Tribolium castaneum: one gene and its partner. Each later gene encodes a partner of the first gene's protein in a complex. Links are inferred from orthologs where the notes say so. Each region holds a gene or a part of one and is shown on either strand. Other genes may lie near its edges.

What was found.
Region 2: the proteins of Gyf (region 1) and eIF4EHP are in contact, whole or in part, in a crystal structure (PDB 5NVM), measured with the Homo sapiens proteins. The link is inferred for Tribolium castaneum from reciprocal best matches to the Homo sapiens genes GIGYF2 and EIF4E2. Residues at the interface, in NP_001096616.1 of Homo sapiens: Leu38, Ala39, Asp40, Tyr41, Arg42, Tyr43, Gly44, Arg45, Met48, Leu49, Leu51, Phe52, Leu53, Asn56, Lys57, Ile58, Pro59, Asp61, Leu62, Asp64, Glu66, Phe67, Pro69, Ile70, Leu71, Gln72; in NP_004837.1 of Homo sapiens: His54, Pro55, Leu56, Gln57, Tyr64, Arg66, Asn81, Lys83, Gln84, Ile85, Gly86, Thr87, Val91, Glu92, Phe94, Trp95, Arg96, Phe97, Ser99, His100, Met101, Val102, Leu107, Phe113, Glu149, Asn150, Leu153, Leu156, Gly157, Glu158.

The regions. Positions count from the first base shown.
Region 1 is NC_087402.1:10,002,047-10,006,579, reverse strand, and holds the start of Gyf (GIGYF family protein Gyf), read left to right. Parts: upstream 1-1,418; 5' UTR 1,419-1,529; intron 1,530-1,855; 5' UTR 1,856-1,856; coding exon 1,857-1,972; intron 1,973-2,017; coding exon 2,018-2,669; intron 2,670-2,786; coding exon 2,787-2,930; intron 2,931-4,533. Other genes in the region: Fkbp59 (FK506-binding protein 59), read right to left, coding at 1-114, 161-303, 355-550. UniProt on the Homo sapiens protein: Key component of the 4EHP-GYF2 complex, a multiprotein complex that acts as a repressor of translation initiation. In the 4EHP-GYF2 complex, acts as a factor that bridges EIF4E2 to ZFP36/TTP, linking translation repression with mRNA decay.
Region 2 is NC_087400.1:16,080,778-16,084,600, forward strand, and holds part of eIF4EHP (eukaryotic initiation factor 4E), read right to left. Parts: exon of another isoform or gene 3,252-3,823; intron 2,282-3,251; coding exon 2,274-2,281; intron 868-2,273; exon of another isoform or gene 579-867; coding exon of another isoform or gene 520-578; intron 469-519; coding exon 270-468; intron 1-269. UniProt on the Homo sapiens protein: Recognizes and binds the 7-methylguanosine-containing mRNA cap during an early step in the initiation. Acts as a repressor of translation initiation.

The DNA of each region.
Region 1 (4,533 bases):
GGTGGCCCCATCGTTGGGGTACGTGTACCCTTCACCCGCCTTAATTTGGGCCCTTTCAATGCCCCCGTCTTTCTTGGGGCTCAAATCCTCACATTTCCAGCTAATTACTTCAACCTAAACAAAACAGTTAACTCAAGCTTGTTAAAAAATTAATACCCACGTCAAATCTCAGCGTGGCGTCTGGTGGAATAGTTGGAGGACTGCCAGACTTGCCGTAGGCGTATTCGGGGGCACATGTGAGCATAGCTTGCTCCCCCTTTTTCATAGTGGCCACACCGATATCCCATGCTTTAATCACACTCCCTGTGTGCAAAATAATCATTTAACTTTGGTTTATTTAAACACGAACCGTACCTTTGCCCAAATCAAACTCGAAAGGCTCATTCCGGTCTCTACTAGAGTCGAATTTTGTGCCATCAGTTAGAGTTCCAGTGTAGTGAACTCTGACTTTGGATCCAGGTGGAGGGCATTCGTCACTTGTACCCTCCCGAAGGATTTCCTTGAGGACTCCCTTGTCTTGATTTGGGGAAATATCAATAGGTTCAGGCATGGTTATGGTGGAATATTCTAGAGCCGGCTCTGTAATAATAACATGGAGGAAGTATAGAGAAGTTGATGGTATTTTGTGCCCACAAGTCAAAATAAACACATTTTGTTCCTACTCACTTTAAACAAAATGTACTTTTTTGTAAGTTGGGTTTTTATTCAAAAATTAATCGGAAAAAGCACAAACACACCTTTCAAATTAATGGTTCGAACTGAGACGAAGACGAAACGACAAGAAACGATCACCGTCGTGACTTTTTTGTTTACAGCACGTAACCGTAGACGCAACGTGGGTTTTAAATTATTTGGCGCAAATTGAATTAATTAATGAAACCCAAAAACCATTTGCGTGTTTACTAAACAAAACATTTTTATAATCTAGAAAAAAGTAAATCAGACAAACTAAAAGTTAACAACACTTTCAGGACTCAATAATAATTAATAATAACGCAATAAAAAATAATCTCTTATTCTCTTATCAATCAGTTATCACATAGAAGCTGTGCTTAATTGTAATAAAACAGCTGGGATACCTTGCCTTGGAAAGTAATTTTGAATTGTTATCTTATAATTAAAAATTGCCAAAAAAATAATTGCGTCAATAATTAAAAAACAATGATCATTTAAGTCTAAAGCAAAAACAGTGCCGAAAGAAGTTAAGACTGTGTTTAGATATACAATCAAAAAACAAAAACGCTTTCATTCAATTATTTTAATGAGTTTATTGAAAATTCTTGCAATGTTTTTTTGAAAATAGTAGAATGTGTGTTTTCGAATAAAATGTTGAGCGCATTAGCGTTGGGTTGGCGACTTGTTCCTAATTAATTTTTGTTTAAAAAAATGTGGTTCAAAACAAATTTGAAATGTAGGGTTTTTTGCGTTTTGCTATTGTTTGACAATTGAGCACATGCGCGTTAACCTACAATTTTGCTTCAGCCATTTATGTTGATAGCATATTATCAAGTGTAAAACGTTATAATCAGGTAACAGCCAGTTTATCGAGTAAAGAAATGCAAAAATACCGACAACGGATGTAACTTTGATTAAAGAAAGTAGCTTTTTTCGGGGCAAATCCTTGCATAAACCCGACAATGTTGTCACTTTCAAGTGCCAGCTAGACCTAGCCTGGGGCTTTTGTGTCGAGTTCATGCTTTCCAGATACAGTTATAAATTCGCTGGGTTTCGAAGTTTGAGCCCACATCTTCAGCGACATTGATTAGCGGTGATCTGGTATTTTGCTATAAATAGTCACCTCCATTTTAGTCTAAAATATGGCTTATTCAGTTATGAAATCTCCGTTCTGTTGCAGTATGACCGATTCCTCAATGAATTTTGGTCCGGCGTGGATCCGCAACCTTCGATCGGAAGGCACCACCGGGGGCGGAGGCCCGAGTGGTGGCTCGCGGTATCAGTTGGCAGAGTATAGGTGAGTAAAAAATTTCGAAAAACCCTCACTTCATGTCCTCTCAAGATACGGCAGAGAAGAAATGCTCGCACTGTTTGAGCGCAATGCAAAGCCCCCCGCGTCCCTCCTCACTTTTAAAACGCTATATTCGGAACAAACAATGGTCCCCCTGGCCCTCCTCCCAACCACCGAGGAGGAGCAGAGGGGCTGGCAGAGCCGCCCCACGAGCATCAGTGGGGCACCGCGGGGCAGAGGCAGCTCGCTAGAGCGCGGGGGGCGCGTTAGCAGAGGCAGAGGGGGTTATCAGGGCTACGGCCGCGCGGCTTCGTCATACGACAGCGGATGGGGCAACGGGGAACAGCCCGACTGGAGCCCCCGCAAAGAATTCGCCTCCAGGTCGGCGCTTATCGATAATTGGCGCCGAGTCAGGAATAACAATGAAGAGGATGATGGCTGGCGCAATATCAGCTCTGGTAGGGCTTTGCATGAAAAATGGGGCCGCTCGGCGAGCTGGCGAGGGGAGGGGGACTCGGAGGAAAGGAATGGGCCTCCCGAAAGGGGGGCTCGGGCCAATTGGCATGAGAATAACAGGGGGGCTCCGTTACGGAGGTCTTGGGACAACGAGGACCATCTGCCGGAGTGGGCCACGGAAAACCCCACGGAAGGCGGGGGCACGTTTGATGAAAGAGGGGCGTTTCACGGGTCAGACGATGAACAGGTCAGTTTCCAATCCAAGTGCTTATAAATTAAGTTGGCAATACTTAAGAAAATAGATTTCAATGTTGCCAAATTTATTTCAAATTTTCATTTATAAATGTTTGTTTTTTTCGATTAGGATGGCAAAAGGGATAAGAGGGATATGTTGCAAAAGTCCACCTCACAACAACATATTCCGAATCGGGGTAATCCCCCGTCGTTATCCTCTTCCAAATCTACCACGTCGCTCTCGAGGTCGGAGGACAGTGATAAGTATAAAGAGGTGTGTTTTTTTTTTGTTTTTGTTAAAAAATTACGAACTAATTTTTTATTTAGAAGACAGTTTATGTGTTTAAAATAAACATAAATATTTTTAAAATATCTATAAAATTTTGATTGAGTTTTAGTTTTTTTAAGAAATTGTTCTGCAAAAGTGCAGTGCAAAGGAATCAGTTAAATTTCTAATCAGTGTTCTTTTTTGATTTGAATTGGCTACACTGTAAAATGTACAGGTGGAAGATTTGAAAGTCTGGATCATTACTATAAACTTTATGAAAAAGATTATATAATTGAAAATGTTGTTTTATAAAGATGTACTATGTGTAAATTATGTTTTTATTCCAAAACCACGGCCGATACAAAAATTTTATAAGGTACAAAAATTGTTCCGAAATAATAGGTTTTTTGAAAAAAAAAAGAGAAATAGACTATTCAGATAATGTATAACAAGAATATATCATAGGTAAATACTTTACAATAAGAAAAAAAAAACAAAAAAAATAGGACCGAAACATGTGGTTTTGATGACAAATTATTAGTTCAAATTTCATCAAAACTGCTTATTCTACAGACTGATCCAGAAATACTGAGTCTGTTGGCAACACTGGACTTAAATACTTAAATTTTTAAGGATACCAATGAAGTAGGCTTCCAGTTAACAACAGTTTAACATTTTTGTGGGGTTGTACGTTAAATAATTGTCAAGAAAAATCGAATTCGGTTGCAATGTTGCAAATTAAGAGCACAAATACTTTCAAATGTGTTGTTACTCAGTATTTTTGGATCAGTCTGTATTTTGAAGTTACTAATAAAAATCTATAATAATTTTTCAACTTTGACGCCCTCTAACTTTTAAACAGTACAACTTGGTAAGTTAGTTTAGATTGCTCTATTTTGAGCTGTGGGAAGTCTTTGGTTCTCTGTTGTCCCCATCTTTTCGTTACACCCTGTATTTAATAGAACAATAGTATTCTTTTATTTATATGTATTGTGCCTTTTCCTTGTTTGTAATTTGATTTTTATCTCACCGATACCTTGGATTACTTCATTAATTATATTGGAATTTTTTAAAAATTAATTTTAATGCTTTTTTTTACTTGTCAAATTTATAATTACTTATTTAGAAGAAAATTGAAAGAGGACTACTGAATGTACAGCAATTTCATTTCCTTTGCGTCCACGTCCTAGCGTAATTTGAATTAATTCATTAGTGTTTGAACAATTTTGCTCATTTAAAGAGCGACTTACACCGCCGAAATTTTAAAAGTTTACACTAGAGAGTGTACGTTCAGGAACTGCACGGCTTTTATTTAAAACTTTTCTTAAGTTTTGAGTGTTTGTTTTTTTTTGCTAACGTTTTTGAAATAATTTCTAGATAAATTTATTGCAGTTTAAAAAAAAGTTTAAAATTATGGTTGATTTTCTACAACTCCTAGTAATTATGTTACTAAAAACACCTAAAAGTCAATCTCACATAACCACAGTAATTTAGCATAGACTTTTATAAACAAGTCTAGGTTACAAAACTATAAAGTTAAACTTTTTAAATCTTTTAAATCCTTTTTAGAAATCAAATAAATCAATGAGATCCATGACAATTTTTTGAC
Region 2 (3,823 bases), on another chromosome or scaffold:
CATAGGCGGGTACACGTTTCAGTATGTTATCTTTTTCCAAATTTTAAGTAAATTTGCGATATTTTTTTTAAATTACAAATTACAAAGATATTTTATTTGTTGAGCTCTGTTACCTTTTCAAATTAAGTATTTCTTAAATATTTCTGATACAACTTGTAGTTTGTCAGTTGATAACAAAGAGAAGAGTAGTTTTTGTACTCATCTGCAAATGTCGCAAACTAGTCCTAATACCAAATAAACACAACGTTACAATACATTCATATACCAACCTGTCCTACCAGTCGCAACGCCTGGCTATACCCCTGTGAGCCCTGCACCTGTGACGGCCTCTTTGAGAACCACAAACAGTACGGATGTTGTAATCGATGTTCACCGGGAGGATACTCAATAGCCCCTAAGTCACTGATGTAGGGCCCCACTTCGTCGTCACCACTGCCACTGTCCGAGTTTTCCGCGTGGTGTTTCAAGCTGGCCACCAAACAAAATAAACATCGAACAATGAATGAAACAAACACTTACGGTTCGTATTTGTTTGACATGGTGCCGGCTGTAGGGGGGTTATTTACGTTATATACCATCAAATTAATTATCACAGAACTTTTCTATAGCTTTAAATCACTTTTTTCAAAGCTGGAGTCGTATAAGTAACTGACACTTTTTGTTAACCTTGTTTGGCAGGGGTGCCACTTTTTCTTTGACGTTTCATAAATGTTGAGAGGATTTAAAGTGACGAACTTGAACAACACGGAAATCAATTACGTGTGAAATGTTCGGCAAAAATTTGAATTACACAGTTTACCAATAAAGGGCACGAAAACATAAATTTTATTTAACTGTATGGCGTGGTTAGGTTGGTGGTTTGAATACACTAAACAGAAATTCAGCGCTAAATTTAAAATTAAAACAACCATCGTTTGCACTAGAGGATTTTGGCCTCTATTTTTAAAGTAAGTTTATTTAAAAAATAAAAATACCAAGATTTTTTAATCTGTTTTTAAGTTTTGCACTACAGGGTCGCGAATGGAGTTGGGTTATTGATTTGTTATTATATTTTTATGCAACCAATAATACTAAATCCAGCTGTTCAAATCAGGAGTAAATTAGAAAATTACAAAATTAATCCACAATTGAGCATTTCTCAACTTTGTCTTGACATTTTCGTCAAATTAATTTGTGGGTAATTTAAGTTTAGTTTACGTAATTCTAACAATTCCGAAATAATTTCTTTAATTTTTTAAAAACTCGAAGAAATTTTAATTTCTTGTAATACGTACCAGATAATTGCAAAAAGATTTCTATTATAAATTTTTTTAACAATTACAAAAAGAATTACACTTATTCAGAAAAAAAATCAATAATTCAAGTAAGAAAATTCGAAAAAATATTACCGTAATTCCGGTAATAAAATAAAACATACAATGTACGTTTCTAATTCTAACTTACTCCCAATAATTCCAAATTAATTTATTGATTAATTAATTTTAATTCCGATAGTTCTAGGACATTCTACGTAAATTTCATTGCATACACATTATCCCGAATAATTATTTCCTGTAATTCTAAACTAATTCCAATAAAAAAAAATTATCGTTATTTATTATTTGCAAGGAGAAATATTTCCAATAATTTCAGAAAAGATTTTAGTACTAGTACCTAATTTAAAAAGAATTTAAAAAATAATTCTAGAAAGTTTGAATAATAAAAATTAATTGTAAATTATGGTGTTTCTAGACTGTAGATTCTTTCTAGTAATTCCAACTTAATTCCTGTAATTCCTACTTAAGTTTTGTAATTTCTTTAATGTTAATTGAATTTACTATAATTATAGTCTAGAACTATGCTAAGAAATTTTACGTAATTTCATTACGTACAATTACAATAATTTTAAAAGAATTTCAAATTCAAATATTTTCTGTAACTCCCATAAAGTCCAAAAATAATTTTAATAATGTCAAATACAAACTGCTAAATCATATTAAGCAAATCCGAATGAGTTTCAATTTGTTTGAAGCTAAAAGCAATAACATTGTTAAAATAAATCAAAAATTCATCGTGAATAAATTATAAATTGTAGGAGTAAATTAATAGTTATTTATTTAATGAGTTTGAGTGTAAATCGGACGCTTTAAACCACGAGTGAAAACGAGTGGTTTATCATCCACGAGGCGAAATGAACTGATTTACACAAAAACGAGTTGAATACAACATTTTATTCTTTTAATTACACTCAGCAAGGCTTAGAATTGCTTTAAATTTGTTAAAAATAATCTGACGTTTCGTACTGAGAAATGCCAAACAGTTGTCAAAACTTCCTTACACAGGAGAAAAACCGTAAATTTTGACAGTGTCGAAGAATAAATATTATTAACATTAGTTTAAGAGTCGTGTTTTTTTTTTAATATTTATTTCCAATACGCGTTTACAACAATATTTGCAACAAAAAAATTCCGATTACCTTGTTGTTTTAGGAAATATTTGACTTTTACTTGAAACACGGAAATAATGTACAGAGTGTGCCAAGACGCAAAAAGTTGAATAACACTTTTTTTTATTATTAAACACCATATATTTTTTTACATGTGTCGATAGCATTTTTTTATAAGCTTCCTATTAATATGCGGTTTCTATAGCAAATTTACAATATTTCTTAAAGTGTTTAAAAATATTTTTTAGTTATTTTATTAATAATTCTTGATGAGTGAAATTCATTTATGTATTAGGTAATAATTAGATTACTAATGTAATAAGTCACATTAGTACATAACAAAAATTTAATTACTATTTGACTATCAGATTCTAGACTAACAAATTTTATTATAATAAAATATACTTTATTTAAAAATCTTGAAAAATATTTTAAATTTTTTATGCAAATTCTATATCATTAGAAAGCTTAGCAAAAATGCTATCGATACATAAAAAAATCATGGTGTTCCATTTGAAAAAAATGAGTTATTCAACTTTTTGCGTTTTGTCACACCCTCTGTATTATCTGCGTGTTTTAAGTAAATGTCGACTGTTTGCTAAGACTACAAGGTATTCTAAGTTTTTCTGATAAAAAATTATCGGAAAATATTCATAAGCGACTTCGCAGTGATTTTTCAAATTTTTTTAAAACGAAAAGTTGAATAATTCCAAAACGAAAAGAGATAGACATATTATAGTTTATATAAAGCTATATTATTTTTTGCATAAAAATTTGCATAAAAATGGTGTTCCATTAAAAGAAAATATAACTTGGGTTTAACACTCTGTATACAATACCCTGTGTATAATAAAATATTTTTAGTTTGTGGACTTTAGGACGATGTATTGGATAATAAAAACAGAATAGCAATATTTCTATTACCAATAACTTATAGACCGAATACACACTCCTGGGTCAACCTGTATCTCTAAATTACTTTTTAAATTGGTTTGAAGATTGCTATTTAAAAAAGGCTGTTAGACCTTGTTTTACACTTGTTAAAATCATAATGGTATAAAAGCGGCACAGTTTTATATTTTTTATAAATTTTTAAAATGTGAGGTGTAAACCCGATTTTTTTTGGTTTTTATTTTTTTGATTGTAATCCCTGAACCGATTTGAAAAAAATAGGAAAATGTAAGAAAAGGATATTCTAATTAGCATAAAAAACAAAAGCATGCCATTAAAATAATATTATTATAACGTCATACTTTTTTGGAACACTCTGTATAATCAAATATATTTTGCTAAAATGCGTGGTTGAGTATAAATAACGGTTACAAACATCAAAAGTTTAATTTTGCTAAAAGTAAGGTACAGAGGGCACAACTAACTTGTAGATAATAATACGTACCT